4 linked regions of the Styela clava genome follow. The main gene of each other region encodes a partner of the protein of the gene in region 4 in a complex. Links are inferred from orthologs where the notes say so. Each region holds a gene or a part of one and is shown on either strand. Other genes may lie near its edges.

Region 1 (8,639 bases), on a different chromosome or scaffold from region 4:
TGCTGCAAAATCATATCTATCCATTGCTGAAACTACACATAATATGAGGATGATATAGTAGACTGTTTGTGTTGGCATTGCGAGACTAAAAACAAAATAATACAATTGATTAATACATTTCATATTTTCATCCATATTGTGTTCAGATATTTCATAATGATTACATAGTAATTCAGTGATGAATATCTTACACCATCAGTCCTATAAACTTCACACTATGGTAATAAAGAAAAGCACACCGTGCTAAGCATTAGGAATATACTCGCCTCCGCAGGGTGGTTCACGTAACTGCTGGTCGGTAACGGCTTACTCCATCATCAAGTCCATGCTTCCAGAAACAAATAACTGGCTAACCAATCCCATGCCCTGGTAACCGGACGAAAGGCCACGGTCCGCCATATGATTGAGCCGCGTTATCGGCTTCCCTCTCCCCAGGATAAATATGTAAATCCTATCCTATTTTAATACACAATACTTACCCTTGATACTGAGTTAGAAGATTCTGCTCCCCTAAACCATTCAAGGAATAGCTGATGACAACCTGCCATATTGAGAATCCAGCTAGTGCACCATGCAGTAATAATGTAATGAACATAAATGCTTTCTCATTTTGCTCGGCAATCTGGAAATGAATTTATGATGTTTATCAGTGCTTTTAAGGCTTCTTTCTAATTAGCTAATTTGTGACCAAAGTAGTCCAGATACAATGATTATTTCTGATTGGAAAATATACTGAATAGAATTAGAAAAGCAAACCAAGTGGGTCATATTATGATGTCATAATTTCTTAACTATTAAACACCCCCCCATTGGGTTTCTAGGCAAGCCACTGAAAAAAATCTAAACTTTAAGTGGTTCAGACTAAAAACTTCTACTCCACAAGATCAGCGGTGGCAGGATAGGCTCGGCAGTGTGGCGCATCGTGCTAAGCGTTCAGAATACGCTCGCCACCGCACCTCTGATTATCCTACGTGGGTTCGAATCCCATGCAGTGACAGTTATGTGCGAGAAGACTGCTGGACTACTCGCCGCCATAGGGCGGTTCACGTAACCGCCCCGAGGTATATATGTAAATCCTATCCTATCAATCCTCACATTGGACGGTTTCATTGTTGCCTCTCCATATGTCATTTGTGCTTCGCTTCCCATACTTTTCATAAAACGGTCATTCAACCAATCTTGATTGTGTGTTGCAAATCCATTGGTAGTTTGTACATAGACTTTGTCAGTTGCCGCACTTCCACCTGATCCAGCTATTCAAAAAATCAGCATTTTTAACACTGGAAAAATTACCAAGGACGGTTTCCACTGGCTTTAACAGGTTTTTATACAAGATTTTGTAAGTTCAAATACCACAATAATAGAGTAAATGCTTGTGTAATAAACTAATCTTGTTTGCGCAGAAAAAATGAGGTTTTCTTAAAATCTGTTTACATTTGATTGAACTAGATGAATATCTATGACAGTTATGAAAGATATATACTCACCGGCAACACCAGGAAGGTTTGTCATTACTATAGCATCTTCAATTTTCTCAACATTTACTACATCTTCATCTTGTAGCAATGCTGAAACTGTATTTCCAGTGGATACTTCTCCTGTTCCACCAGGACTCTGATTAGCACCAGCTGGTTTTCTTCTTCTTTTTGTCCTGGGCTTTGCTGTGGAAGAAGGTCCACTAAACATAAGAGAAATCATAATTTTTAAACGAGGTGTCCTTTCACTTCATAGAACTAAATTTACTATTGGATGAGAATACTGGTGGTGAGAACATGACTACGTAGGCATCACAGGTTATAGATCCTTGGCTCAAACCTCACTGAGAATGTAATAAGTTGTATAGAGTAGACAGTGCCAAACAGAAAGTGTACTTCAGCTTGCAGATTAGACCCAGAACTCTAATACGTCTGTACGTGGAGTACACATACTCGTAGCTCACTAGACAAGACTGTATTATTCAAATACAACAGTTTGACATGTTACAGCGCTCAAAATAAACAGACCCTAGTGAAAGATTTCTGTTCATCTGAAAACCATTATTCTGTCAGAGGTCTTAAACATCTTGTATACAAATGACCATTGTGGACAGCATTAATTTTGCCTTTAATTAATGTGATCTAAAGGTATAAAACATTTTGTTAAGAAAGAAAATTCCTAATCTTATCTATTAGTCTGTACATGATTCACACTAACCTTCCTTCACTCATTTGAGTTTCATCAGCTACACTGGCCGCTGCTGAAGATGGTTGTAAAGATCCTGTTTCGATTCCATCCTGTTGTCTTGGACTTCTTCGGCGTCTCGTTTTCGTTACAGGTCGTTTCGAACCTGTACCGGGTGAATTGTCTGCTCCGCTGGTAGGTGGTCTGGTTTTCTTTCGAGGAGTCGGCACTTGTGATCCATCACCAACATGTGAAGCACCAGCGGTTAGTGGAGGCAATGCTCGAGGAGGAAGCGAACGGGGTTCACTGAGTGACATTATTAAAAATCCAAGTTTTAAAAAATTCTACTTGTAAATTGGTCAAAATCTTCTACATTCAGATGACTGGAAAATAAGGGGTTTTAAATCCTCCAGAAAATATTTATGTGAGGAGTACGCACTTTTCCTTCATTTAAAAAGTAAAGAATGATTAGTTACGGGTATTTAATTTCTTGTGGTTGAATCGAATGAAGAGATAATTATTTGAATAACAAAAAATCAAGTTAACTAATTTGACAATATACCGTACTGTATTCTTCTATTGGACACAAAGTCAAGCTGACAATTTATTTTTGGGAAGTTGAAAATTTCAATATTTCTATACACTGATATAAAATAGGCTTCCAATTATTCCCAAATGCAGCGAGTACCTTTTCTTGATTCATTGTAAACTTATATGTTAATTAACAGGCACATGATATTTCTTATGTTTTAAACTTAATATAGAATAATATATCAGAATATAACGTTAGAATTTTTCGTAGCTTCCCAGAATTCTCCAATTTAATTTGTGTGTATGTATTCTGGAGTTTTAAAAATAATCTATAAACTGCGGCGGTTCCTCAACTATAATTTAGTAATAACTGGCTTTAATTAGGGAATGAGGTATAACTTCATTGATTGTATATAGATATACATTGAAATAGATTGTTTATTTATTTCTGGCCTAATCCTTGTAAGTTTGTGTTTTTGTAATCTTTTTGCGTGTGTGCTGGTGAGCAGGCACATAATATTTCTCATGTTTTAAAGTTCTGTTCGCTCTCCAGAGGTCTCCATTTCCAAGCTATGCTGCTATGTGTAACATGGAGTTTTCGAAATGAACTATCTGTCTTTGTGTTCTAAGTTACACTTATAGTTATAACTTATACCATCCATCTTTGCATACAAAATTTACATGTCAAATTAAATTTTCCAAAAGAAAACTGTTAATACATTAAATCAATTGGTTAAAAGAATTTGAAAAATCTGACAACACGAAGCGTCCCGTCGCCGAGCACCAACTCATGCATAAATAAAGCTGAGACCTGACCTGGGATTCTATTTGATGTTTTTTTAACCTTTGACCTATCCTATCCTTGACCCAACGAACAACATTTTTGCTCGACTCTTTTTGCCTTTCTGCTACCTACTAAAACGACGTTTCACAACTAAGAACTCAATGATGAAACCCAGTTTACAGACTCAATTTAATGCCCGAAACCGCTGTTGAATGACCGTCACAGTGCAATGAGAATATATATCTCATTACTCAGTGCAATGACATTAAACAACATGATGGGCAACTCTGACGTCACTCCATAAGACTACAGGCAAAACATTGTATTTCATGATACGCTCCAATGCACATATTTCTCGTCGCCTTTCGCGTCCGTTTTCCGCTCGCTCTTGCTACTCGGCGTCTTTTTTACGTATAGTACCTGCCTTTTTGCGCCTGTAACGAAACAAAATAATCTCTATATCTAAGAAGTTTTGCTTACTTGGAAAGCTGGAATAACAGGCAAGCTGTAAATAGCAATTCTGGACATCATAGACGTTTTTTTTTATCAGAGAAGATTACAAACGCGATAGCGGAAAGATTAGTGTGGAACATTTTGCAGATAATGACAAAGTTCAAAGTTAGTAATTTTAATGTTTGCGCTTAATCATTGAAATTTCATACAAAACTGTGCTGCGATACAATTCCATAACACAAAGTTTGCACCTATCGAACTTGCATTTGTAGGTGAATTTATTAGACATATTACATATTCAGTTAATCGTAGGTAACATTGCTGGTACATAATGCATCGTAGATAGGTTTGTTTAAATTTAGGAATTTAGCTCATAGCCCACTAATTAATATTATCTTCTATGCAGGAGGTTGCAGGGCTGAATTCAACTTGCAGCCTTACCGATCACCTGACGATGCTCATTTAGTTTGGCTCGAGCAAGTCTTCTTGAAATGCTTGTGTGGATGGAAACTACCTATATTTTTTGCCTTCCTCCGATTTTAGACAAATTTATTCTGAGGGATTTCGCATATAATTCTCACTGATTGTTGGCTGTTTATAATTCCTATTGATTGTGAATTCTGATTATAACAATGAGTTGAAAATTTTTTTACCTAATTTACTGGCACCTTTTTCTTGTCAATACTCCAAGCTGAGGTAATAAACATGACAATACATTTATGTCATCTGGAAGCAAAATATGCACACTAATTAATAGTTTGGCACATTGAGATAATACATCATGACAGAAAATACAAATTAAAGATATGTATGACCATCACATGATAATTAAAATTAAAAAAAATTAATAGGGGCTGTGGAGTATGGAAAGTTCAAGACAAAGAAAAGAACAAATGTTCATAGCTCATGAACTCTCAATTTTGCCTCCATTGCTTTGTGAAGGCCAGTATATTTCGAGTGGCTGAATTGGTTTACCTTTATGATAGCAACGATTTTGTATTTAATATAGCGAGATTATTTCAATTTAATTGAAGTGATATAATTTCCCAAAGCAATGCTTGAATCGTCTATCAGTGGTGTCAAACTCATGGGTTTTCGAGAGCCGCATTGCATTTTGAAAATTGTAAAAAGAGCCGCAAACAGTTTTTGATAATGTATACTTAAAAGATATTTTTAAGATAGTGTTAGTTTGTGACATATTTTGTGATGCAACTAAACAGTTGGATTAAGTTTTATTATTTTCTTCAATTTCAAATGCAATTACATATTAATATTTGCATTCCACTATTATTGCAACATTTGCAAGTTACAGTATTTATTATAAAAAATCGTAAAATTCTATGTACAACCATCAAAATCATTTTTGAACAAGCTTTGAATAAGGAAAGAATAATACATACACTAAAAATAACTTAATCTAAATATATGAACCTAAAATTAACAAAAATACTACAGTATAAACTCAATGTTTTAATAATTACATTTGTCCTGGCGTTTGGCATCTTTTTTGTGTCACCAGCATACTAAGGCCAGTCTGAAATGATTTTATAGTACCAACTCTAACTAACGAGGCCACATGATCATGGATTTATCTGGATCTTTACGAATGTTTAATTAATTCCAGTAATGCAAAAAAGTTACTTTTATCATTTCATGTATAGATCAGTAAAAAAACAAATGACAGATTTTTTCGACAAGACATTTCGCACTACATTGCGTGGCATAGGATTGCTTGAATTGTTATTGATATTGATTTTTAGTAACTAAGTCGTTGTATAATTATATTAATATACAAACACATGGAAATTTTCTGTTCGAAGTTGGTCTTCGAATTTGTCATATTGACTGCTTAGCTTATTGTGTTTTTTGATTGTATTGATGGAAATATGACAAATTAAACAATGTGCTTCAGAATTTTGTGAAGAGCAGAAATGTTACAACTCCCATTTTCTTCGAAAATGCCACCTTTTTCATGTACTTTGCGTTTAATTTAATTACTCAAGTGTTTTATTCAAGTATTCTTTTGCTAGCTTGATGTGTATTCTTGATTGGGTCAAAATGTGGACAAAAAAAAATCAATATTCCAAAACTACTTTCAGTAAATTGTTTTCTGTGTGAATAATCAATTTCACTTTAGAAGGTTTGAAAAATCTATTACATTTAGATAAAAATAAAAAAACTTCCAAAATACTATTACAATTATTGTTAAACGTTCGAGGGCCGCACTGGAAGTTCTCTGGGGCCGCGAGTTTGAGATCCCTGGTCTAGATTGAAGTTGTTCAAAAAATATATGATAGTATTTTATCATGAATGATGATTATACCCCTTCCGGAATTTCTTCTATAGTACTACCAAAAGTTGATGAACCAAATATAACACAGGTGCAGTGAGGTACCCGTAATCCTCATTTCCAAAGCTGTTTTAAGTATGTCTGGCGTGTTTTGTGCCTTTTTACAAATAAGACCGCTTATGCAATCTTACGCTTTGGAATTTTTAGTTATTTTCCTCAAGCCCTGCAGGATGTGGGGGCCATACACAACTCTACCGGAGGGTCAAATGTCTTTGCATGCCTCCATAGGTTGTTTTTCTATTGCAATTTTCTATTTTCAAATCCATTATATTTCTTGGAATCACACTGTCACTGATATGTCGCCAGACTTCTGATATCTCCCCGTCTGCTATAGTTGTCCTGTGAATAAATAATAGGAATTTGAAATTAGACGAATAGTTGAAAGTTTTGCTTTATGTCGGCTTAATTTCTTGATTGATATACTTACTATTTCTGCTATTGCCTCTTGTGCTGCAAGAGTCTCACAATGCTTAGACAGGTTTGTCCACAACTTTCACATCTGAAGAAAGAGAGGAGATTTATTAATTTTCGTTAGGAATAAATAAAGCAGTCTATATGATTCAGAATGGAAAAGCTAATAAATCCAATATCTTATGTTTTATTTAAAAAATATTTTACTGAATTTGGTATATAAACCAACTAATAAAAGGGTTTAGTCAGAAAATTACAAGCATTCGTGGCTCCAAATACTTGAGAAATCAGACTATACAACATAGACCGGTATGAGTGAAATGTTAGGTGAACTTGTTAACACTTTGATTCAATACGCAAATAAAAGTGAATGCGTAATAGTATGTTACAATGAGCAGCAATCAACAATGAGTATATATCCTCACTGATTAAAAAATCTAACTGGAGGTGCATGAACTATTTGAAACCATAAGGGGTAAGTAAATATGTAATTTCGGCAAATGGGCAACTACGTAGCGTACTGAATTAATAACTTCGTAGTATTTGACAAAGGCTGGCTTTCCCACATGTACTTAACAGTGCGATGCCCGGGTGTGATATACAACAATAGTATTCACCTTACCTTTTACCGATCTCTTTTTACCCCAACTTTCAAAAATATCATTAAAATCGACAACAACTGTCAAAACAGGCACGAACACCATTCGTGCTACGCCTTGAAAGCAGCACACATCCGCTCGTTTTCGTCTCGTCAAGTATGTGCATTGGAGCGTGCTATCGAATACGATCTTCGGACAAAAATGCCGGAGTTGCGCATCATGTTGTTTAATGTCATTGCTCAGTGCAAATCAACGACTGGTGAAAATCTAAATTGAACGGTTTGACCAAAGATGCATTGTCTCTGGTTTGACCAACCCCGTGTAACTTCCGATATTTGTCCCGATGTTGGATTCGCCGTCACGCCCGACTAGGCGCAGACAGATTATTGCTTCCAAAATCATCGTGCGTTTTTCTGTGTTCTGACGGCGTTATCTCACGACAAGATTAAGTGAGTGGCTTTATAAATATTCAAATTAATTGTGCATCAACTTTAATAAAGATTTTATTATAGAATGCAGATTACAAAACAAAATAGAAGAGCAATCATTTGAGAGGGAAGGCCCTAGAACCGGTCCTAGCACTTAAAAGCATGTTGACAAATGACAGTAAGATCTGAAGATTTCAAATTCGCTTCAAGGCTCCAATGAGTAGATGTAGTAGAGAATCACTTTGTGCTACGATTGTTAAGCATAAAAAGAGTAAGTTGTGAATGTCCTAGGTAGCCAATACAGAAATGATTTGTCGAGGAATGTAAATTTTGATAAGAAATCAAGATATTATGTAGTAACCTAATATGTATATTTTCAGGAAGAAAGGAATCATAAAAAAGTTGTAGTGTGAGGATTTATGCCGTGTAGCAGTAAGCAAGGATATGAATTGACTAATAGGTAATGATTTATCTCAAAAATCAGAATCAACTTACACCATACAGCCATATCAACGAAAATTTTTGATTGAGGAACTAAAACTTTCGGCAAAAAAGATATCTGGTGAACGATACCACCCTGAAATTGTAAGGTCGGTATGAAAACATAAATTGAACACACATATTTTAACTTCAAATAATGAGTGTTTTATGATGGATTTTTCCCCATTGATTCTGTCATTGTATACAAAGTCACCAGCTGCATATGACAACATAAGAGGTGCTTTACGTTTGCCATGTGAATCCATTTTGCTTAATTTCAGGCTGGTACTAATACCCTTATTCACATAAATTGGATACCCACCATTGCTATTATCTAAACATGGCTTCAACATATATATATTTATAATTTTAAATATGCCAAAAAAATTTTGCATTATTTTGTCGAGTGTTTTTAAATTATTTATTTGAAATAAATAGCAATT
Region 2 (8,069 bases), on a different chromosome or scaffold from region 4:
TTTCAGGACCGGTACCGTACAGTAAAAATAAAAAATATATCAAAGTTCCAGGATTCGCAAGTGCCTGGTTTTAGGGAGACCCCAGTAAACCTTCAAAATTTTTTCACTCAACCGGTGCGGTACCGGTAGGATAGGATAGGATTTACATATTTATCCCGGGGGAGAGGAAAGCCGATAAGACGGCTTATCCATATGGCGAACCACGGCCTCTCGTCCGGTTACCATTCCAAGTCGGGTACCGGTATGGGATTAGTCTTTACTGTATTGTTTGTTTTTCGGAACATGGACTTGGTGGTGGAGGAAGCCGTAACCGACCAGCGGTTACGTGAACCACCCAACGACGGCGAGGAGTCCAGCAATCCTCTCGCACATAACCATCCCTGCATGGGATTCGAACCTGCGAACCCACGCAGAGCAATTAGAGGTGCGGTGGCGAGCGTATTCCTAACGCTTAGCCCGTTGAGCCACACCGCCGCGCCAGCAGTACACCGCCGGTACTTATCCACACATTGGAAATTTCGGTAAATATCAACCCCAACATCATTATTAGTATGCAAAACATTTTGATTATGAACAAATAATAAATTTAAAATAAATAAAAGAAAGAAAGTGCTGGATACACCTTAATGCTGTAATGTGGCGCGGCGGTGTGGCTCAACGGGCTAAGCGTTAGGAATACGCTCGCCACCGCACCTCTAATTACTCTGCGTGGGTTCGCAGGTTCGAATCCCATGCAGGGATGGTTATGTGCGAGAGGATTGCTGGACTCCTCGCCGTCGTTGGGTGGTTCACGTAACCGCTGGTCGGTTACGGCTTCCTCCACCACCAAGTCCATGCTTCCGAAAACAAACAATACAGTAAAACTAATCCCATACCCGACTTGGAATGGTAACCGGACGAGAGGCCGTGGTTCGCCATATGGATAAGCCGTCTTGTCGGCTTTCCTCTCCCCCGGGATAAATATGTAAATCCTATCCTATCCTATCCTATGTGCTGAACAGACCACGAAACGTCGATTTTCGAAATCGCTGCCAGCATGATGCATTGGCAAAGCTGTTTGGTGGTGTATGGAGTTTCTTCCGGTTGGCCACAGACCGTAAAAACAATATTGCGCAAATCAGAGAAATTTTATTCGTCCCTCTCATTACATTGCCATGCCGTTTTTATTAATTGAATAAGCGAATTATAAAAAATTACGCATTGCATTCAAAAAACGATGTTACCACATATCCATCAAATCTAAATTTGCCTCTCACAAAGGTAACATCAAGGCAGTATGGAAAACAATTAATGAACTTATTGGTAAAAATAAAACAGGTTCTTGTCCTTTGATTGGACTCGATTGCAGTAATACACAAATTGCAAATAAATTTAATGAACACTTTTCCCAAGTGGCACAAACCCTGCTCGACTGTATGCCACAACCAGCTGGCTGTGACAAAAATTACATTTCATATCTTGGAAAGCAAGAATCCTCATCCATGTTTTTAAGGCCAACTACATCATTAGAAATAAAAAATATTATACGCGAAATGAAGCCCAAGTCAAGTTTTGGAATTGACGGTATTCCATTCAAAGTATTGAAACACGTTCCAGAACATATCATTGACATCCTGACATATATATTTAATCTTTCACTATCTAGTGGGTTATTCATTGAAAGCTTCAAGACATCTAAAGTTCTTCCTCTATTTAAAAAGGGTAGTGTTTCAGATCTTGGAAATTATAGACCTATTAGTCTTTTACCATCATTTTCTAAGATTCTTGAGAAAATAATGTATAGTAGAATGTCAAACTTCTTTGAAACTAACAATGTTTTCCACTCTCATCAATTTGGTTTCCGCAAGCATCACTCCACTGCTATGGCTGCTAATGTTTTGGTACACAAACTGACCAAGGCCTTTGAAAGCAAACAACATGCAATTGGAATATTTCTTGATATTTCAAAAGCTTTCGACACCATTGACCATTCCATCCTTTTAAGTAAGCTCTATCACTATGGAATTAGAGGCGTCCCATTCAATTGGATCAGGAGCTACCTGCAAGACAGGAAACAAATTGTGCAATATGACAACTCATTCTCTACAAATATTTGTGTCATGAAGCACGGAGTTCCACAAGGATCTTTACTTGGCCCATTATTTTTTCTAGCTTACATTAATGACATGTCCAGGTGTCTGAAATCCTCTGAGTCGATCATGTTTGCTGATGACACTGACTTGATTCTTCATGGGAAAAACCTTGAAGATCTACTCACAGTTGCAAACCAAGAACTAACCAACATTCATAGCTAGATGTTGGTTAACAAATTATCTCTTAATGCTAACAAAACTAAATTTGTATTATTCCACCCAAGCAAGCATAAAAGTGTGAGTAGTTCAAAACCACTACTGCTCAATGACAATGAAATTGAAAGAGTGAAAGAAATAAAATTTCTAGGAGTTATCTTTGATGAAAATCTATCATGGAAATCACAAATGTTGCATGTTATTGGTGAAACAAAAAGGAACTTGGCAGTTGCTGCTAAAGTATCCCAGTGCGTTAATCAATCAGCTTTACTAGCAATGTTTCAATCTCTACTACTAAGTCATATCCGATATTGTAGCTCAGTCTGGCTCCATGGTAATAAAACACTTGTCTCGAAATTGCAAAGCATTTGTAATAATTTTTTAAGAATTGTCTTTAGGAAAAGTAAACGTGAAAGCGTAAATCATTTCTATAAATCGCTAAATATACTCAAGGTTGAAGACATAATGAAATTTGAAGTATTATCATTAGTTTATGATTTTCATGACAACTCATTGTCAAACTGCTTTGACGACATACTAACCAAAACCACCTCCAATCGAAGAAGTAATTCCAATTTATTTATACCGTTTATGAGTAAATCTGTGAGCCAGCATGCCCTATGCTATAATGGACCTAAGCTATGGAACTCTCTCCCCTTGAATTTGAAGTCATTAAAATCCAAAAAATCATTTCAGAAACAAGTTAAGTCGTACTTGGTATCCAAATATTAAAAGTTATTTTCCCATAACCACACTGATATATATACTCTTTCGTATGAAATTAGCTACAACGTTTTGATAGCTCGGACACAAAAAATATTGAACCTTCATGAATGACCATGATAGAAAGTTGGGACACTCTTCACTTGCACATACTTATTTTCATGAAAATATTAAACAGCTACAATATTGCTATTGCTCCTGCAGCTGCTGATTGTTGTTGAGCCGGCAGTTAATCTCTCTCCACCTGTTCTACATCTATTGTTGGTGTGTCGGGTTCTGTAGCATGCACAGCAAATTATTTTATTTATTTATTTTTCAAATGGCTGTTTACACTCTGACATCTGCATGCGCATGTTCCCTTTTTGCTTAACGTTGGATTTTTGACATTACACATGCATGATCTTTGTTTCTATATGGGTGGTGTGATACCTTATGAGGGTTGTAGACCGTATAGTTTAGCTCCTGTACCTATTATTGTAATTAGGCGACCAGTGGAGATATATTGGATTCTCCCCTTCATTTTAATTTGTTGTGGTATTCTATGATTTGTTTTGTGTGTATACAAAATTTTATCCTAGGTTGAGGTTCTGCTGTGAAGTTGATGTGAAGGCCAACATACGAATGGTCAGTGTGGTTTGAGAGTTTCTGCATGGTTTGCGAGGAATTCACCCTGTGTCCCAACCATATTTCAACTCTGGTCTTTGAACTAGCGTTTTATAGATAGATAACTAATAATCAATATCTACTCGAAATAATAATTAATTCTAAACAAAAGTGTAGGGTAGTGCTGTTTCCAAATATGTAACCCTTGAATATCCTACTCGCAGATTTGTTTTCTGTTTTTCAGGTCGTTCTGTGATGATCAATACAATGGCTAGTTTATTGAATATAAATGGTGTCTACAACAACAAAATTCGCAGGCTGATGTCTCATCCACGATAAACTTGAACCTATTACGCCATAATAATTAAATGAAGAAATGATCCTGTGAAATAACAATACTAATTCCTTTATTCCTAATTCCTTTATCCTTGCAGAAGTCAATATCTAAGAATGAAAAAAAAAACCTTATAACCTTAGCAACCAACATATTCCTATACCCTGTCTTTCTACCTTAATTAATTATAATTACTCATACTTATAAAGTTACTGATAGATTTAAATACTTATTGCAATCTGGACTACAATTTGGCAATAATAGGCTCTAGTTTGGGCAATGAAGTGGTCTAGCCCACCTCTTCATGCACCCAATTCTGGCAACTTTGGTTGGGCATTTTGGCATTTGACTCCATCTATAATCAGCTTGACAATATATTTTTTTATAAAAGTTTATCTTTACTGTTCACTCCCATTTATAAAATTGATCAATTTGGCAGTGGCAATCATGATAAATTTATTAATATGGTGTGGCAAGTAATTTTTATTTATTTATTTTTTATTAACTACCAGTATGTAATTTTTCATGTTCCCTTTACTTAATAACTTCTATATGGTTGTGTGTGTGGGTGCGTGTGAGCGTGTGTGAAATATTTCAATTATTTTAGGTGAGTGAACACGTACCACATCTTCTTGGCAAAACCTTCCATCTTATATACATTCTGTACGTTTTAAACCTTATCTAAGGTTTTGTTCGCTCTCCTGATTTCATAATCAGTTTTTATTTATTTATTTTTAGCATTCATTTTATTGTTTTGCTGATTATGGAGTCGAAATAAACTTATACTTATTAAACTTATTATCCGGTACTGTTCATCAACTGCTTGCCACTCTGCGTCAAACACATTACCAATTTTAAAATGTAAAACGATGTCATAAATTTGAATAATTTTTAAAATTTCATTTATGTGTTTTGAAATAATGTAGTTAAAAATCGTTCATTTATACCTGTGTTACCTAACATCTTTTTTACTTCTGACTCTCTACTAGCCCCACGTGATTAAAATTTCCCCGTTTTTGCATTTGTGTACATTATTTCAAGCGGTTAGCCAATTATAAAATAAAACTTTGTTGTGGGCTTTCTCAGTTTCTCTTAAATTTAGTAAAATGTTAGTGATATACGGTAGTTAAATTGACATCCAAGATTGGTACCTGACTTCTACATTACTCCTAAGATCACTGGTAAGTTTAAAATATGTTTAAGTGAAAGGTGATCTTGCCACCTTTGGCAATTCTGTCTGGGCAATTTGGATGAAGTAAACTTTAACAATAATTAGCTTGGCGATATTTTTGATAAATATCATTTTTTCTGTTTACTTGTGTTTATTGATTTGGTAGTCAATGATTGAGAAATTTAAAAAAAAAATCAGAAATCATTGATATACAGATATAGGTGTGGGAGTGGCAAATATATTCTTTTTATTTTTGCATAATATATAAATCAGAGTTTCCCAAATTTTTTGGGCTGCGGACCCCTATTCGAGAATCTTAATTTTGATGGATACGCGCTATGTATCAATTTCCATTTATAACACAAATGACATTAATGTGATGGATTAGATTGCTTTCCACTGCAAAATTTTTCGATTCTAGGTCTTGACCTGTATTTTGTCATCATATTTATAAGAGTTGAAAATGCTGCCTCACGCATGTAGGACGTTGCAAAAGGCAATAAAATTTTAATTGCCTTTTCTGACAGCAATGGATATTCGTCCGCAACGCTCAACCAAAAATTTGCAATTGCTCTTTGATTGAAATCAATCATTAAATATCTATCAGACTTTTTTCGTATCGTTTCGTACCCTGTGCAGTTGTCACGGACCCCCGGGGATCCCTGAACCCCCAGTTTACCTCCAGCGACACCATTCTGTTAAAATTCTGTATGTTTTAAACCTTACTTCCGTACATACAACTTTATTCGCTTTTCTGATTCTGTAATGATTTTTTTATTTTCATCAGCTATTTCTTGTTTATTTTTCTTAGATTCAAGATGGCCGTGTTTGAGATCTACTCATTACCTGCATTGTATCGATACAAGTCGAGTGTTTGGTCGAAAGCTTCCTTCTATGTCCTGGCAGTGTTAGTTTTAACTTTCATACCACCTCTGCTAATTGCATACAGAAGCCAAGGATTTTGGATTACAACAAACACATATCAAGAACAACCAGACGTCACTTATAAGAAACAACTTCTTATTGTGGCGGAACTTGCAAACCCTGGTGAATATTTTGCATGGAGCACGTATGCAAATTTTAACAATTTATTACAAGGCAATTTACGTGTTCCCCAGGTGTCTTCCTTTGAACTTGATAATAATCGTGATGGTCTTAACGATCAACTCTCGCTTAATATAAGTGTTCCCCTCACATCTTCAGAACAGGTTGTTAGTGTTCACCTTCTGGTTATCTTTGACTACAAGTTATACAGAATGTCAACATTTGAAATGGAGAGCATGGTTTACGTATCACAATCTTCGGCTTTAGGTGGGGCGGGGGCGAAGGTGACTGGTGATCTTGGATTGTATCAAAGAGTGCCGTTATATCACAGAGGCACTGACATTAGATTCAATACTCCTATCATTGATTCGACAAGCACTTTTGCTTCAAGCTATGATTTATTTACTATCCTAAAAAACTACTCCCAAAGAAACATTACCACAAGACTTGAAAACTCGTACAGTGTATGGTCGCCTGGGCGTTTGCCCACGGAGCCCTTTGTTTTACAACTTGATGTCTTTTATCCTACAGAAGTGATAACCTACCAGCCTGGATTTTGGGAATTAATCAAATGGGGATGGGTCCAATATGCCACCATTTTGTTGCTCTTTTTATGGGTGTTTAAACGAATTAATAGAACTGTATTTGAAGGAAATGTCTTCAATACAGTAGTGCAACAACCAAAAGTGAAGATAATAAAAGGACTTTAGCATGTAGAGTGGAATTTAGATTAAACTATTTAGATGATGTGAACATCTCTGTTTTACATGAATATCAAGTGACTGAAGCTTTAGTTGGATTCCTGACCCTTTTTTATATCAAACTTATTCATTACTCAACTCTCAAGCATACATGTCACACTCAGAACCGGATATTTGGTTTGAAATCAGAATGGTTCGCTCCAGTATAATCAAACTGTGGCTAACTTGGGAGTTGAGCTTCTTCAGAACTGGAGCCACTAATACTTCTGGTAGCTTGATTGGCCTCAGCTTCAAGAAATTTTCAAGGCTCCAGCTCAGTCCTGATGAAGTCGAAGATAGGTTTTGTCAAGACTTTCAAGCTAGTCAGAAACAATAAATTCCATTTGACAAATATTGTGGCCATATTGCTTCCTGACTTTTTAGTTTGAAAAGTAAAACTCAAACACCAGACACTGGAAGACTAATTTTTGACTATAAAAATTTTGGTGTCGGTTCTGATTTTAACTGATGAAATTCAGAAAAAAGGGTTTGGAAATCAACTCAAAACTATTATAACAAAGTATTCTTTCTACTGCAATAGAGTATCAGTATGGAATAATTTCATTTCTGGTTGTATTATTTTGATAAACCAATGGTTTTATTTTGATTAGCAATTGAACGTAATTTGATATCAAGGTATTTTATTTAGTGATACCTAATATTTGAATATGAATATATTTTTACAAAAAAAGTTGAATTCTTGCTTACGGTATATCTTTGTTACGCAAATGCAACGCAAGAGGGATGTTGAAACCTGGTCAGTGCGGGGACTGGCCATGTTTATGCACATTGTAACAATGAAAAAAAAACTTACAATCAAATATGAAAATTGAAGGGTGAATGAATCTCATGGAAACTGGCATTAGAAATTACCATTGAGTGGGTGTCACACAGTTGGGAACACCATGCCATTATCTTAGCTTGTGTAATTCAGGAATACTGTACAGCAAAATGTCTTTCTCTCGACTTAATTAAGGTAGTCCACCCATGGATTAATGACCAATCAACCTTTACATCCAACGAACCCGGTCATAGGAAATTATGCTTGGCGGTGTGGCGTATCGTGTAAGGCGTTAGGGATACGTTCGCCACGGCACCTCTGATTACCGTGCGTGGGTTTGCAGGTCCGAATCCTATGCGGGGATGGTAATGTGCGAGAGGATTGC
Region 3 (8,490 bases), on a different chromosome or scaffold from region 4:
CAAAACACATTCGGAAATACCTATTTCTTTAGAATATAAATTATTTGATGCTCATTGGAGAATTTGCAAATGAAAGCAGTAGGCTAATGTGTGAATGGCAATATAAACAGTGTTTTGAAATGGTTTTCTAGTTTTTACCTCGCCAAAACTTAAAAGAACACTATTTTTTTCTGACCATCTTTGCAAAGATTGCAAACACAAAAATTGATAGATCTCAAACAATCTTATAACAAATACAAACAATCTTAAATATTATATGCATTTTGGACATCCCTGTGTAAATGCAACTTATATATATACCTGTAACTTATATATTCTGCTGACATTATATTGAAAAGTTTCCAATCTAATTCTTCAGGAATAATCTCTGAAAGTAATTTCTTTTTTTCATCATCAGTTTCCTCTACTTCTTCTGTGGGTTGCTCATCTTGTGCATCTGTAAAAATCATGATAGTTAGCATTATGCTTCATTATGTTCTAACAATGCAATTGTAATCGATTGAAAATGCACTGACAAATGATAGAATATGGATCAATTTTTTCATACATGTATATATATATATATAGAGATAAAAAAGTATGAGGCGGTCTATATGTAGTGAAAAAGCAGGAATAAAATTTTTACGTGCTATTGTACGTTTCAAAGAGCCAATTGAGACTTCTTGCCAGGGCCTAACTCGATCCTAAAAATACCCCTAAAAAATAAAAATCATACTTTTTTGTGTAAACTAATAATTTTTTTTACAACAAGATTTTTGTATGACATTTCAAAATACAAATTTTATATCAGCTAGATCCAATTTCCATAAGTTCAATTAGTGCGACGTAACGCATGAATCCACCCAATTTAGCAGAATTTTCGAAATTTGTCAAGTATTGATGTGTAAATAGAAATTTGAATTCACTGTTAAGTCTCAGCTTTGCAATTCAAGACATAAATTTTAATTCCAGATTTGTAACATCTAAGAGTGGTATAGAGGTTGGGGTTTCATTGAAACTTCCATTAGGGTTGCTGCGCACATGTTTGGTGAGTTTACCATTTCTTGTGAATAACTTTGACGTCATCACGTCAAGAAATGGAAATTTAATGAATGGAATCTGCTGATAGCAAGCCATGAAACTTTTAAATAAACAAGGCAACAAACACACTATAATATCACCCAAACTAAATTAATTTCAGCCAATGTACATGAGTTATAATTTCAAGTGTTTCATTGCTTGATTAAATTTTAATATTAAAGATTTTCCAGAAGATCTTCTAAAAATCTGATATGTCATCGCTTTTCTGGTCGTTTGATAAATTTTCAATGAAGCTTATTTCATTACCGACAACTGCTGCATTAATGATAATAACATCTGAGCAACAACTGTAATTCTAGTTAATATTTATGTAGAAAATAAATATAGAAACAAAGAAATAAAAAATAACCTGCTGCAGTTTCAGGTTGATCTTCTACTACAGGAGCCTGTTCTATTTCTTCTTCAGCAACCTGCTCAGCATGTTCTTCTGTTGTTGCAACATCAGGAGATTCAACTTCAGGTTGCACCGTTACTTCTTCAAATTGTTTCGTGAAAAAATCATAACAATCAATATCGCTAGGTTGACCGATTTGTTTCCTTGAAAAAAAATAAATAATTGGTTCACAATTGAGCATGAAGAAAAGATGAGACCTTGACTGAACACCTTGAAAAAAAAAATAGATAATCGGTTCACAATTGAGCATGAAGAAAAGATGAGATACTGAGCACTTTACATTTTATATCCAAGAGATAGCAGAATTATCATGACTAAAAGTAAGGTAAAACATTGGTAACATACCTAGCTTTCTGTAGAACCTTCTTCCATTGCAATTTCGCCAAAACTCTGGTTTCCAATTCTCTCTCCTTTTCTAAATCAGGTCGACTGAGAGTACGCAATGGATCAACATCAAATCTGTAAAAAAATTTAAAATCTTTTCATATTCATATATGACAAATCGAAAGTTGTTTATTTGAGCTTCGGTATCCATGCGAAAATAAGATTTCCAAGATATCCATACGTGTTGCGTAAATTATAACCATAACTTATTTTGAAAATGAACAGTCTTTGCAATTTCATATCTAAATTCAACAACTGACCTGGTGCTCGAGTCTCTTAGCCTTTCTTTTAATCTTTGAGTTCTTTTTCTCTCTTCGCCCATTTGAGAAAACTCTGAAATATATTTTCATTGATAAAAAAGACAATACAATAGTGAATAAATCATTATATTTGTCAATGTTTTATCAAAAAAAAATTGTTGTTTCATTTTTCCCGTGTGATTGGTAACATCCCAAGTGTTTTTATCATTATTATTATGCCCTAAAAAGGTAATCTGGTGTTTATTATTGGTCACAAAAAAATTATAATGTAATATTCGAAAATTTAAATTACCTTTTTCACTGTTAGATAAATGTACAATTTTAATTTGACTTTTTGGTGTACTCAAAGGAGCTTTAGAGCTTTAAAGGATGCAAATAACCAAATATTAATGCTAAAGTAAATAAACCTTATGTTACTCATGCGAAATACCTCGCTTTTGTTTAGCCGCCTGAAGCTTGGCTTGCAATCTATCACGCAAGGACATTCCAGCAGATCGAGTGCCAAATGTGCTGTTGAATGTGCTTTCCAAATCGGATTGGGGACTGCAAAAAATAATTAGAAAAATTATCAATATTGGCATTACACAACATATTCATTGAATTAAATTACCGGTATTAGATAAAACTAAGCCATAATATGTGCTTTCCAATTCGGATTGGAGACTGCAAAAAATAATTAGAAAAATTATCAATATTGGCATTACACAACATATTCATGGAATTAAATTACCGGTATTAGATACAACTAAGCAATAATATGTGCTTTCCAATTCGGATTGGGGACTGCAAAAAATAATTAGGAAAAAATATTAATATTGGCATTACCCATATATTCATTGAATTAAATTATTAGATATTCCTAAGCAATAATATAGTCGGGGTCATGCCCTTCAATGATAATTTGAAATTATTGTCAAGTCATATCTATTCAGTACACTTTACGGAGGTAAGTTACCGAGACAATTCCTGAGACTGGCCAGGTGACATAGCTGGTGTGATAGACCTTGGTGATTCTTGTAATCTTGAAGTAGGAAGTCGAACATCAGATTGAGGACGAAGCATTTCGGAAGTTTGGAGTCTTTTACGTGTAGCATCATGACGAGATTCTAGTTTCTCAATCAAACGACTAGTCGATGCTGTCTCCTCATCTCCAATAGTAGGAATATCAGCATCACCATCACTGTCATCATTATTGATTGTAGTAACATCAAGTGCTGTTGAATCAGTTGTTTGCATCGTTATATTCATTGCTTTTCGTCTTTCTTGCAACTTTTTTTGTAAAGTATCCGAAGTAGAATCCATGTTTCAACTTTTCAAAAATTACAGATGATAAGAGACACTACATAAAAATATTATCACAAATTTAAAATAAACATTCAATAGGATGTTCAACAGACCTCTCAGTATCACTACCCTATAGTTTGACTACGAAGTACGAATAGGCGATATTACCGGCTTTTCTCTCTCTGGGGATAAATATGTAATTCATATCCTATCCTACATACTGACATTAAGACATAACTTGGATATAGTTCAGAACTGTAGAACAGTGTTTCCAGGTTTCTTTACTCTGGGCCTGGGGGATGCATATTCATAAATTTAAAGGGATGTCTGTAACACATGGTCTATAGATGGAGCTTTATGAAGCGTATCTTGTTGCTATATGCCAGTCTGTCGAATACGATACTGAAATATGATAGATAAACACAATGACAATTTATTATCAAATACAGAAATATGAAATGCTAAATTGACACCACCAACACTTGAACTTTTATGACAGTTTGATTATTTGCTGTTTAAGTTATATCTAATACATATTGACATCTCAAGCCTGAGTAATATTGAATGGCAGCAGGAGTCTAAGTCCACCCAGCAAATTAATTGTTGGAAAGAGAATAGGTTAAAGTGGTACGCGGTGACAGTATGAACACGAAGTAGTCTAACTCTAGTGTTTAGAGTTGGGGTCGGCAAACTTTTTCATGCCGAAGGGCAAAATTACCGACTACCAGTGCCGGTAGTCTGATTAAGCTATTTATGCCCATCCTGATTAAATCATAATCAGGCCGTGTAGATTTTAGAGAAAAAATAAATGGAGTATCCTTCTAACGACTTCTTCCGTCTCCAAGTACTGAAAATATCAAACTGATTGTTCAAACACGATTTTACATATCGCTGTGTTATGGACAACACAATTTGGTTAAATACTGGTAACTATTTTTGCAATTTGGAGGGTCTGGGGTTGGAAAAGACAGCTGACAAGTCTGAAAGTGGAAAAGCTGGAAAGTGAATACAACAGAGTTGTGAAGAAATGTACGACTTTTTGCCACAGATATTCCACTCATAACTACACAAGCCAGTTTAATTCTGTAATTTGATTTTTTAACTCTGTTGAACTTATATTTGGCCACTTCATGAATGGTATTAATCAGCACTTCACCATATCTCAGGATGTCCTGTTCACTTTATAACAAAGTTAAGGACTAAAGAAGTTTCACTATGAATAGTATAGTATGCTGGGCATTGCTGGCAGGGAATGGAAATTTTAAAGACACCCACAAATTTTCCAATTGCAAGTGTGCTTTCTGTTTAACATGGTTGTTTGTATTGTGTTACTTTTGATAAATATGCCTTGAATTGTTCATCTTATTTTAATGGCAAAATTATCTATGTTGTATTTTTTATGAGCTTTGGCAATATCTATTTTTTCCTCTTCTGCTGCCAATAAGTGGTTATGTACCGCCTAAGACATCAGCATAATTTGAATTTTCTACTGTAACATCAATGTTTCACTGCTGCCCATGATATTTCTTTGTGTGTGTAATTGAGATTGCTTTTATTGTTTTAATAAATGATTCTACACCTCCATGCAGCCATGTTGCCTGCCAATATTGACAGTGTTTGGATATTGTTTTGGTAAATAGTTCCAATGTATATAGCTTTTTTGTGTATTTTTTGTGTTACTAGTCACTAGGTATTTTCTTCTAACATTGGCACGCATTGTTTGGTATTTGTATTCACAGCTATTTCAAGCTATTGTCACTTTCTATTCCCACTTTTATTCCCACTATTCAAAACTTCATGCTGTTTTTCAACCATGTATTTATTTATCTGTCTTGCACATTTGATAGGTTTTCGGTGATTTTTTTCATTTCTGACAGCAAGCGATGTCTCCCATAGATTTTGACTTGTATATTTCTATGCTATATAGGAATCTCAGACCCAAAATTTACAGAATTCGAGATCAGCTTTATTTATATATATGTACTGCAAGGCTAATCCTGGTGATTTCTCAGCTACCATAATCGTATACGAACATTTGAAACATCTATCAGAGACGGAGGAGGTCGTTGGGATTCTATTACACTTAATTTTATCTACCTGAATTTTGCTGTCTTATTTCAAGCGCAACACTTATTTTACTCCATGTAAATTATCCACTGATTCAAGCAATTATTTGGCTTTTATCATTTTAAATTGAGTTGTAAGCACTGCCCGATTTTGAATCGTGTCCAAATTTTTTGTTTAACGTTACTCGTATTATTCCTATTTTATTTTTGGTGGGTGGGCACGTACTTGTACGTTTTTTAACTTTATTTTAAGTTATGCTCTCTTTTAGGTATCTCTGTATTTGTTGTCTGTTTACTTTTTTGTATTGTTCCGTTTTAGTCAGAGACCCGAAATACAATGATTGATTGATTGAGTACAGGAGTATGAAGACAAAATGGTGGATGAGCTGACGGATTTTATTTAAACTATACTTATTTTTGTTGTTGAAAACATACTTATAACTGCCGGTACCGGTAGCTATAAGCCTATAACTGACAAAACTACAAAACAAGTCAATGTCCAGTTGAATGTGAACAAATTTGCCAGAAAAGTTTGAATAAAAAAGGTGGGTCTATCTGCAGATCTGCGCACTACTAAACTTTCTCATTGTTTCATCGGCGTATACCGGCCTTCTTTTAAGTTTATATCATTCTTTACTACGGAGTATCTAAATACAGTATTGAACTATGGAGAAGCAAGCCTGTGCTATAACATTTTAAAATTTGTTTCCAATGTTTACAATTATATTTGTATTAACTGCCCGCTAGGTGTCACTTTCGTTGCTAGGCTACAAAATCAAAACCGTGTCGTCTGCTAACCCAAAATGTCAGGATAAAAATAAATAAATGCATAAAAAATCAGGTACCTGAATGTCAGCAGGGAAATGTTAAAATAATTGTTGGCACATCGTGCGCCGTCTAAGTGATAGGAATTACGGTACCTGATGAGAATATACATCAGCGGTCCCCAAAGTGGGCAAAAACGTCCTCTTGTGGGCGTTTGCTATAACTTGGGAGGCGCTGATGGCGATTTAGGCGAGTGGGGGGCGCTGGCTGTCAAACTGGGCGATTGGGGGGCACTGACATCAATACGGGAACTCACAAAAAGTGTGATATTTTATGTCATTTACTCCTATGTTTTGGTTCAAATTAGTTTGTTTGTGATCCCGGTGTTGGAAATTTCACGCTTAACGTAGAATAGGTATTATGATTTTTTTAAATCTGTATTGTTGTTTCATAATAATACCAGTCTAGCGCATACGGCATATGCTTCTTTCACCATGCACTTAACGTTTCGTTGTACTGTATTGAATTATAGCTTCATTTTACTATCGGGTTCTATGGTGCTTTCAAGCGGTAGTGTAAGTATCCTACAACACCCATGTTCTAATTCTGGTTTTGTTAAGAGCAACATGTGAGAGTTGGGCATCCGATTGAACTGACGTACGCCAGATAATACCATCTCCATGTTGCGACTTAACTGGTTAATTTTTATTTCTTGCGTCATTGAATAATAAGGCTACATACCTAATACTTAAATCGACAAACGGCAAACATCTAGCCTTTTGTTATATCATGTTGTGTCTGACACTGTTTAATGTCGGTTTATCATTTGTATTTCGTAAGTTCAAACTATCAAATACAGTGACTTAAGCAGCACATTTAACTGATTTATATTAAAAACAGTATTATACAGCGTAGTCCCCAAAAAACGGAACCATCAATTACTTCTACGAAAATTGAGTGAATTATTTAATTTTGTCTACATTTGAACTTCTGTTTACGTATGTTTGTACCCAAAGGTGTCGGAAAATCTAGGACGTTTTTCACAAAAATTATGTTGTTTCTAGAATATGTTCCAAATGGTTTCCTCGGCATTGAAGAAAGAATTGCATTTATTTTGCAACATTGTCAATCACTTTTCTTTGGGTATTTTTCTATTTTATTTCTGCAATCGTTTGAGGATTGTCTTGATACAAATTGTCTTTCGAACACCCTACATATCAAAATCTGAGAGGTTTCAGTCCGATAATTGAGGTGTCCACTGGATGTCATTGCTGACTTTTCTCTCAGGAAAACAAGCGTCTGATTTGATATATGGGGGGTCGCCTCGTCATGCTTGAACCCCTGCTGGTTGCCTCTTTCAATATCTCAAGTAATGTGCAGATTTTTCCTGGCACAACCACGTAATCTTCTGTAATCACCGTTTGAACTCTTTCATTTCCATGTCCTAACAGCAGAAGGTGCGCTTCATCGTAAAATAGGGTTGCCAACCGTCCCGGGATGGCCGGGACAGTCCCGGAATTGACGTCAGGCGTCCCGTGTCCCGGGCTGGACTACTGTTGTCTCGGAATTTACTGGCAACCAAGGCGTGCTGGAATATAAGGCCATGTAAGCGTGTCACACTACTATTTTAGAACGCCACTGATATCAGTGGATTTAGAATTGATTACTTTATTTTTGTAAAGAGTACAAGTTTGAACTTAAACATTTGACAGGAACTTCACTTGTGGTAAACAATCATTAAATTACTATCGTTACGGGTGTTATAGGAGTTCTTCATTATCTTTTAAACAATTTATAATCTCATGTCATCTTCACAAACCTGCAAACCGAGTGTGTAGAGCAAAGTGATTCTGATGTAGAATGTAATGTGGAGGATACATTGGAACAAACTCCGCCCAAAAAGAAAGGCAAACTTTCAAAACGATATTGTGTTTTCCGTTCAGAATGGTTACAAGAAGGCATGTCATGGCTATCTAAAGTTGATGATTTTACTGCACACTCTGCCGACAGTACTTTTCTGTTAAATATGATGGTAAATACGCCGTTTCTAGTCATGCTAAAACACAAAAGGACTATTATTTTGCAGAAAGAAAACAATACTTTGTCTGCGTTTTTCGTTAAGAAAGACAGCAAAGTAGAACAGCTTGTGATTTTAGCTGAACTGGTTTCAACTTACCATGGCGTTATTCATCATCATAGCTTTGCCAGTCAAGATTGTGGCAATAAACTACTCAAAAAACTGTGTCCTGACTCTGCA
Region 4 (8,435 bases):
GAGGCCTGAGGGTCACGAGATCTCGCTTAGATGTTGTTGACAAAACTTTTGAACGATACCTAACCAATTTTTTGCAGGGCTGTATATCTTAAAAACTTTTCAACATGTTTTGAACCATCTCAAAAAAATTAAAAAAATTATGACACGCTCAAAAGAATTCAAAAAAAGGAAAACTCTCAATAAAATCCATTGCCAATGCTGACCTTTATATTCATTCATATCTATTTATCATAGAAGAAATGAGAGAACAAAGTAAGTGTAAGAGAATTTACGAAAGTAATGATTGAATTGAAATAAAAGAAAGTAAAAGCAACAATTACTGAATATATATTTTACAATTAAAACCAATATTTCATTTATTTTTAACTCACTTCAAATTTCCAGTGTTCACCAAAGAAGTTGAAGAACAAGATGAACAAGTTCCAACAGAATCTACTACTGAAGAATATGAAGGTACTGAAAACAATTTTATATTTTACTTTTCTCATTTTACTAAATTGAAACTGATTTATAATAAGCATTTAAGTAAGAACATATTAACAAAACTCGTGGTTAATATGATATGTGTGTTTATTATATGAAATTTGTATGAAAGAAGCATAACTCAATACTAGTGATTGCACACTCATGGCACTATCTATTTGTACATACACCAAGATCATGGATGGATGGACAATCTTAAATAATTGACACAGAAGTAATTTGATATTAATTGAATATTTCAGAATCATGCTTTGATTTCTGAGATCTGATAAACTTGATACAATGAGCCTATTATGAAACCTAATTTGGTAATCTAATAGGTGTGATACTTCTTAATCAAATCAGTCAGGTGTTTCACATGAAATCAGGTGTTTCACAAGAAAAATAATTGTAAAAATATTGAATGGGGCTTTCTGGTTTGTCCTGAATATAATATACTGACAGTATGACAGTACTTTTGAGAAAAATGGTTTTCCAGCAATACCAAAACAGGGGTGTCGCTATGTATGACCAATTTTAAAAGCCACAATAAGCCTAAAAGATTCTCAAATATTGAAATGAAGCATATAAAGTAGCTCATATATAAACATATTACATAAATGAATATCAATGATAACAACAGAAATACACAAAGTGTCGTTTAGTTCGTTCGTTAGCTTGTGGTGTCAAACTGCCTATTACAATGTCAAACTGAATTCAAAACTCTATTAGTTCATTATCAATTCTTTGAAATACTTTCTTATAGCAATCAGCCCTACTTGAAGAAATTATCGTATGCAGTGAAGTGTGAGTCATTTCAAAATATTCCGCAAACCCCATATATGTATGATTTGGCCAAAGTACATGAAAATCATTTTACAGAAAAGTTATGAAAAAAAACAATATGAAAACTTAAGCTAAAGATTTTTGTTTTATTCAATATGTGCCAAGTACTACTGTATGTAAATAAATAAAAATCATTTTTCTTACTAATCAATTGTTGATCCACTGCACATGTACATTGTCCATTTACATCCGTTCCATTTGAGCATGATGAACAGAAATATCCATCTGGAGTTGTTATTCCCTGTTTACAACATTATTAAGGATTATTTCATGTTCAATTACTCACAACTAACAGGTGAAAAACTATTAAACAATCAAAACAAATGACTCGAAAATTTTGGATGGAGTATGATTTATCATTATATGAAATCAATAAATGAAAGTTAAAAAATCTAGTATTGATATAACTTGCTAGAAAAAACTGTAAATGTGAAAAAAATATTTGAATAGACATATTAGTAGGAAGACAAAAAATAACTTACGCTTGAACATGCTTGACAAGACAGAACTCTGACATTGTTGATGTCTGCTTTATAACCTGGTCTGCATGTGCATGAGTAACCTGAAAAATATATAATCAATAATATAAGATTTACATATTTATTCCATAGGAAAGGAAAGTTAATAAGCAGCTATATCACATGGGAAACTACGGACTCCCATTCGGCTACTAGTCCATGCCTGGTATGGGGTTAGTTAGCCAATTAATTTTTTCAGATGCATGAATTTGATGGTAGAGAAAGACGTAACCGAGCGGTTACTTGAAGCGCCCTATGACAGCGTGAAGTCCAGCAGTCCTATCGCAATTTTACCCCACAGGATTCGTACCTATGAACCCACACAGGGTAAACAGGGGTGCGGTGGCAAGCATATTCTTAATGCTTAGCACAAAGCGCAACACCGCCGAGATATTGAGATATGCAAAAAACTAAGAAAATACTTTTTAAGATTATTCGCATTCACCTGAAGAATCTGGCAGCATCCCCACTGGATCTTGGCAATTTCCACATTGTAAAATTCCAAAATTGTAATATTGTTCAGTAGAGCAAGCTGATGGTTGCACGGAAATGAATCCAAACTGTTGACATCTCACACATTGAAATTGGATATACAGAAGAAAAATCGAATAGATGAAAAAACTGAACATTATCTTCGAAATGTTGTATTAACAATTGTCACTGGTTCATAAAAAAAACAATGATCAGTTAAACATAGTAATAGTTTATTTTCTAGAATATACAGATACGGTAATTGAAAAGTCTTGTTGAACATTACGAACCTTTCTTCCAGAGATATCTCTCAGGCTCACTGACCATTCAAAAATCTGAAGATTTACAGATTGATATTGTGAAGCTAAACTTCAATTACTGAATTAATCACAAGTGGTGGTCCATGTTAAAAAAAAATTTCATTTTATTCAAGTAGAAGTTCATCACGAGCTCATTTTATTTTTACCGAATGATAAAATAATTGATAAAAAAACGAATAAAATAAAAAATTATAACTAAATAATAAGGTGATAAATAAAACGAAATAAGTTAAATAAAAACCGATATTAGAATCAGCCTAATCGTCCTAACCAACCATGGCTCTGTTTAAATAAACAGAGCAAATATATATCAAAGAGTTGACAGTGGAAAATAATACTTTCCGGGTAAACTCTTCCACCTTAATGTATTATTCGTCCCTCTGTTGATACACCAAAGATCTGAAAGTACAATGTTGTTGTGTTCGCTGAACCGCTTGATATAACGTAACGCCTTGCCACGCTCGATTAGGCATCAACTTTTTGGGCAAAGAAAAATTCTGCTAGAAGTAGAATTACGTAGGCTACATAATACAGGTTGGGTATAAAAATGGTTAATATAATAAACGCATTCAAGCAAAGTTGCACCTGAATTTGATTGTGCAAATACACATTAGATACTAAATAACATTTCCAGGTATCGTAGATTCTTTTTAATAGCGGTATCTTCATCCATTCATTTAGCGAATACTTGATAGGCCTACTGAATTTTAGCTGCAAAATAGCGAAGTAACAATTCAATGTATGAAATTAACCTAAAAGTAAAAAGCCATTAATAGAACAACAACAGATTTAATTAAAGGAATGTGGAGAGGCGCGATAATTAGGAGGTTTCCCATTAGCGACACCTAGTAATGAGTATAAATATATCGCAACAAAACATTTCTGACGAACATGACCAAGGTCCTGCGCCTGAGTGGCCTGCCAGCCCGGTAGCAAGTCTATGTCCATTGTGCGATATAAGTATTTTCTTTTGCAGTTAATAGGATGTGGCCTGACTAAATGCCGTTTTCAGACGTTGTCACTCGAATTGTCGGGGAAATACAATGCTATCTGATTCACTTCTGTGAAAATAGTTCATTTACTTCTCGCTTTGTATTTTGTATATGGTTTTTCCAAATTGTCTTTGTTGTACACCTTTTTTCGCGTTTGTTGTTTGCTTCCTCATAATTTATTGCTAGATAGTCTTCTGTAATAAAAAAAAAACTCTATGGACCTTGTGTGGATTTTAACCCTAGATCTGTATCATATAGGCTAACACGGTACCGATTTGGGTACAAAGCTCAAACAATTATATAGTAGGGTGACCATACGTCCTCCTTTTGGAGGATTTGTCCGCTTAAATTTTTCCGTCCTCCGAGGACGCTCTGAAACGTCAAAATGTCCTCCTTTTGGACGGGATTAACTATTTTAAAATTCCTTATGATATATATAACCAAAAATTTTTGATGTGTTAAAAAAAGTAAATATAGACTTGTAATCATCATTAGATATGACCAGGATATGACAACTGACAAGCAATGCATTGCGTTATGTTAACATGCGGGGTTACTCTAGAGCAAGCCTGCACAACTCAAATTCCCACGAGGGCCAGAAGCATAAATCTGAAGGCCCGGCGGGCCGCAAACTTTGCCACATACATATTTCACAAGATGAACTACAAATCAAAATAATATTGTGAAACAGTTAAATTTAATGAAACACTTTCATTACTGGGGAGCTTAAAAATATGAAGAATCTTATTTTCTTAAGTAAAAACAAGGTACAGTATTTTTGCATATGAGATGGCAAATATGTATTTAATGGTTCATCTACCTTGAAAACCCACCCTTCATTTTCAATATTTCTTTTTTATTAGAATTAGGTATTGCGTGTTGCAGTATAAACTGACTGCAGGAAAATATTTCACTCAGGTTCCGTTTTGTAAAATCGTCCCAAATATATATATGACAATTTATTTAGTCATATCCACCATTATTGGATATTTCCATTGTAGGCTGGACAAATAATCCGTTTAGTAGCAATAGATAGATCTTCCTCTGTTGTACTTTTTTGACTGTTAAATTACATTGTTTTTACAAAATCTGCTTCAATTTATTTGAAATTTTACAGTAAATAGCAATATCTTTTGTGCGAGAATTTCTTTTTTAAGTTCTAAATTTGATTCAAAAAGAAACTTCAGTTTCATAACCTGCTAGTAAAAAATAACGAGTTATTAATAGGTTGCTAATATGCACTAATAGGTGTGTGATTGTATATCGATATTGTTTTAAGCGTGATTCAGTTTGAATACTGAGATATCTAAATCAGGGTTTCCCAAACTAGGGGGCGAGAGATCGAGCGACGAATTTCAAGGGTCGCGGAGGGCACACCAATTTCACACAACGTTCGATATTTATTGAAACTAGTGCAAAACATAAATCTCACGATTTCGAGTACGATCGGAGTAGCGGCGCGCTTGCATAACAATGCCGGCTTAGGCTGTTAGACCTGAGAAGTGGCGTGTTCCCAAATTACCCGCGGGCCGCACAGAAGTATCTAGCGGGCCGTATGTTGTGCAGGCCTGCCTAGAGGTTAAATGCATAATTGATCTGCACAATCGTTTATGACGTAAAAATCGCATTTATTGTGCAATTCTGTTTTACGTCACTTCACTTTGTATATCGCAATTCCGTGAAGTTTCGATTGTGGCAGATCCTTGCGCTTGTAAACCCAGTAAATTATGCAGAAAAGGAAAACCTTTTTCTCTCAGGAACTAAAGCAAAAGTACCCATGCTTTAGAAAAGGTCGAACTGACAGCGAAGCGGAGTGCATTTCTTGTGGCTACGGTACTTTCGTTTCTGTGGCGAATAAGGGCAAACTCAGCTTACAGTTGCACGTTGAGAGTTCCAAGCATAAAACATCTGTTAGAGGAGAGACATCATCAGCCAAGGTGACCGACTACTTTTGTGCGCCTGGGACTCAAATAGAAGGAAATGTCGCTGTCGCCGAAGCTATAATGGCGTTTCACTGTGTGAAACATCACCAGAGTTTCAGATCTAACGATTGTACGTCAAATCTAATGAAGAAGATTTTTCCAGATTCAAATATTTCAAAAAAATATTTTTGTGGTCGGACAAAAGTTGAAGCTATTGTGAATAATATTCTAGCCCCGATGACTGTTCAACATGCCTTAAATACTAATCAACAACATGATATTTTGTATCTCGGAGTAGCGACAGACGGCAGTAATCATAACGCTACAAAACTTTTCGCGATAGTTGTACAATATCATGACTGGGAAAATGGTGGGTTGCAGTCTAAGTTGCTTGAAGTTAAAAGTACCACGAATGAGAAATCTTCAACAATTGCGAATGATATTAAAGAAACTTCGACCAAAATGAATCTGTTTAAGAAATGTGTTTCATTTACTGCCGATAACTGTAATACTAACTTCGGCCGATTGGCTTTTAGAAAGGGCAATAACGTATTTTCTCGATTGCAAATCAACCTGCCAAATTTGATTGGGGTAGGATGCCCTGCACATGTTCTGAATAACTGTTTACACCATGAAACCAATCAGACGAGCATTGATGTGGAAAATATTATTTACAAAACGTACCAATATTCCAGCATATACACTGTACGCACAGAACAACTGAAGGATTATGGTAACTTTGTGGATACACAGTATAAAAAACTACTTCCCCACTGCGTGACCAGGTGGCTATCACTTTATTCAAGTTTATCTAGAATGATTCAGGTGCACCCTGCCCTGCAGTCATATTTCCGGTCTATTGAAAAGCCACCTGTTGCTCTAAAAAGATTTTATGAAAATCCTGTGAGTGAGTTGTATTTAAAACATTTGCAATCGTTTGTTGCTGTGTTTAATGGCCAAATTAGGCATATTGAACATTCAAAATCCTCAATTATTGAAATCAAAGCTTGTCTTAGCACTGTTAAATCTACGATTGAAGAGAGAAAAAAACACACGTTCATACAAATCCAAATTAAATCTGAATTGCGTAGGCCGTGAATGTGATGTATTTCTCTCAGATGTGGCTTTATTGTACGAGTCTTGCGTACAATACCTCGAAAAATGGACAGCTTCGTTTGAGGAATTCAAATGCTTTGACTGGATGAGAATTGTTGAACCGTGCGTTGAGTATCTGCTTGCAAAAAATGTTTCGATTGATGAAGCCAAGTTATTCGACCAATTCCAAACTTTATGCAAGTTCGTAGAAAAGCAACTTCATTCCAATTCAGTTTCTTACTGTAAACTCATGGCACATGAAAGATGGACAGAATATTTCAAATCCTGCAGCACCAGGACTTTTACAGCGAACTGATAAAGATCGCACAATATTACTTCAGCATTATTTCGCATAACGCCAACGTTTTCGCGCATTTTCTCTTTAATGCAACCACAGTGGTCGAAAGAACGCGAAAACTTTCTATTTGAGTCCGTTGCTAGCATACTCACTTTAGTTTACAATTTTAACGACATTTCTTGCAGCCAGTTTTACGATATTGCACAAAATAACGCAGCAATGTTGACGAGGATTAGAGGAACTTCCAAATACTTGTGGGCTAAGGAAAAATAAATCGATTATTTCGCAGATGTTTTTTTAAAAAAGACAAAAATGCATCAACTCACTGTCGTCACATCGTCCATTGTCACTTCTATTTTTAATCCTAGAGAATTCAGTAGATATATAATGTATATCTCGGGCACAGATGAGATGTGGTTCTACCGAACGATATGTCCTCCTTTTAGGGATTGAAAATATGGTCACCCTATTATATAGTCAAACCTGAATATATATATATATATATATATATCTTGTAGAAAACCAGGCAACTTTACAACAATTATTCCCATTTACACCATACACTAACCTAATAAGTCTTATATACATATTTAAAATAGTGAATATGGGGGGAGTTGACTCTGATGACCGTACGGTCGTATCGCTCCTCCTAGTCAATACCGAAAAACTTTGCATATGTTATTGTATTTTATTGTTGCTATTTTTTCTGGTTGATTAAAAATAAATCTCTCTCTCTCGATTTGCTCATGTGTGGTGTATCGTACAAAGAGTTAGGAATACGCTCTGTAATCGCACCCCTGATTACCTTGCGTGGGGTAGAATCCCGTAGGAGGTAATTATGTACGAGAGGATTGCTGTACCCTTCACCGCCGTAGGGTCTTTCGTGTAACCGCCGGTTTGGTACGGCTTTCTCGCGCCATAAAATTCATGCACCTGAAACGAAAAACTGGTTAACTAATTCCACGCCCGACATGGACTGCTGGTATAAAAAAAGCTCATTTCGACTCCCTAATCAGCATAATAGACGATAAAATATCAGATAAAAACAAAATGAATAAAACTGATAATAGAATTAGGAGAGCAAACAAAACCTTAAGTAAGGTTTTAGATTAAAAGGTGATGCTAAAAGAAGTGGTAGGCTACGTTTTTGTGCCAATTGTGCACTTGTTATTTTGTAATGGCAGATATAAAATAACTGACTGTTTGACATTGGGTACAATTTTAGGGTGCTTATTGTACTTTGCCTGTCATTACTTTTTACATATTTTTATGTCGATGATGTCTAATATGAGCATTTAGGTTCAAGGTATTGCTTACTCGGCATATTGGCCATGATCAAGCTTGACTAAAAGTGATCAATGGAACGGCCGATAACATCTCAACCGTCTCATAACTTCGTCGTCAAGAAGATTTGGCCAAACATCACCACCAGCAAGATGGTGTTTGACTGTCAAATTGTTGTTTGAATCCAAGGCTTGTTTCGGCTTTCTGAAGGCCATCGATTATGGCCC

What was found.
Region 1: meckelin-like (region 4) and transmembrane protein 237-like share a complex: the UniProt entries of both Homo sapiens proteins name them as parts of the tectonic-like complex. The link is inferred for Styela clava from reciprocal best matches to the Homo sapiens genes TMEM67 and TMEM237.
Region 2: meckelin-like (region 4) and transmembrane protein 231-like share a complex: the UniProt entries of both Homo sapiens proteins name them as parts of the tectonic-like complex. The link is inferred for Styela clava from reciprocal best matches to the Homo sapiens genes TMEM67 and TMEM231.
Region 3: meckelin-like (region 4) and coiled-coil and C2 domain-containing protein 2A-like share a complex: the UniProt entries of both Homo sapiens proteins name them as parts of the tectonic-like complex. The link is inferred for Styela clava from reciprocal best matches to the Homo sapiens genes TMEM67 and CC2D2A.

Annotation. Positions count from the first base shown.
Region 1 is NC_135253.1:6,409,452-6,418,090, forward strand, and holds the start of transmembrane protein 237-like, read right to left. Parts: upstream 3,456-8,639; 5' UTR 2,478-3,455; coding exon 2,194-2,477; intron 1,679-2,193; coding exon 1,488-1,678; intron 1,254-1,487; coding exon 1,096-1,253; intron 623-1,095; coding exon 480-622; intron 86-479; coding exon 1-85. UniProt on the Homo sapiens protein: Component of the transition zone in primary cilia. Required for ciliogenesis.
Region 2 is NC_135264.1:10,088,021-10,096,089, reverse strand, and holds transmembrane protein 231-like, read left to right. Parts: upstream 1-4,969; 5' UTR 4,970-5,129; intron 5,130-5,930; 5' UTR 5,931-5,937; coding exon 5,938-6,873; 3' UTR 6,874-7,606; downstream 7,607-8,069. UniProt on the Homo sapiens protein: Transmembrane component of the tectonic-like complex, a complex localized at the transition zone of primary cilia and acting as a barrier that prevents diffusion of transmembrane proteins between the cilia and plasma membranes.
Region 3 is NC_135259.1:2,066,768-2,075,257, reverse strand, and holds the start of coiled-coil and C2 domain-containing protein 2A-like, read right to left. Parts: upstream 3,462-8,490; 5' UTR 3,421-3,461; coding exon 3,074-3,420; intron 2,662-3,073; coding exon 2,549-2,661; intron 2,192-2,548; coding exon 2,119-2,191; intron 1,934-2,118; coding exon 1,820-1,933; intron 1,618-1,819; coding exon 1,430-1,617; intron 437-1,429; coding exon 301-436; intron 1-300. UniProt on the Homo sapiens protein: Component of the tectonic-like complex, a complex localized at the transition zone of primary cilia and acting as a barrier that prevents diffusion of transmembrane proteins between the cilia and plasma membranes.
Region 4 is NC_135263.1:15,826,724-15,835,158, reverse strand, and holds the start of meckelin-like, read right to left. Parts: upstream 3,323-8,435; 5' UTR 2,456-3,322; coding exon 2,272-2,455; intron 1,871-2,271; coding exon 1,791-1,870; intron 1,550-1,790; coding exon 1,453-1,549; intron 457-1,452; coding exon 372-456; intron 1-371. UniProt on the Homo sapiens protein: Required for ciliary structure and function. Part of the tectonic-like complex which is required for tissue-specific ciliogenesis and may regulate ciliary membrane composition.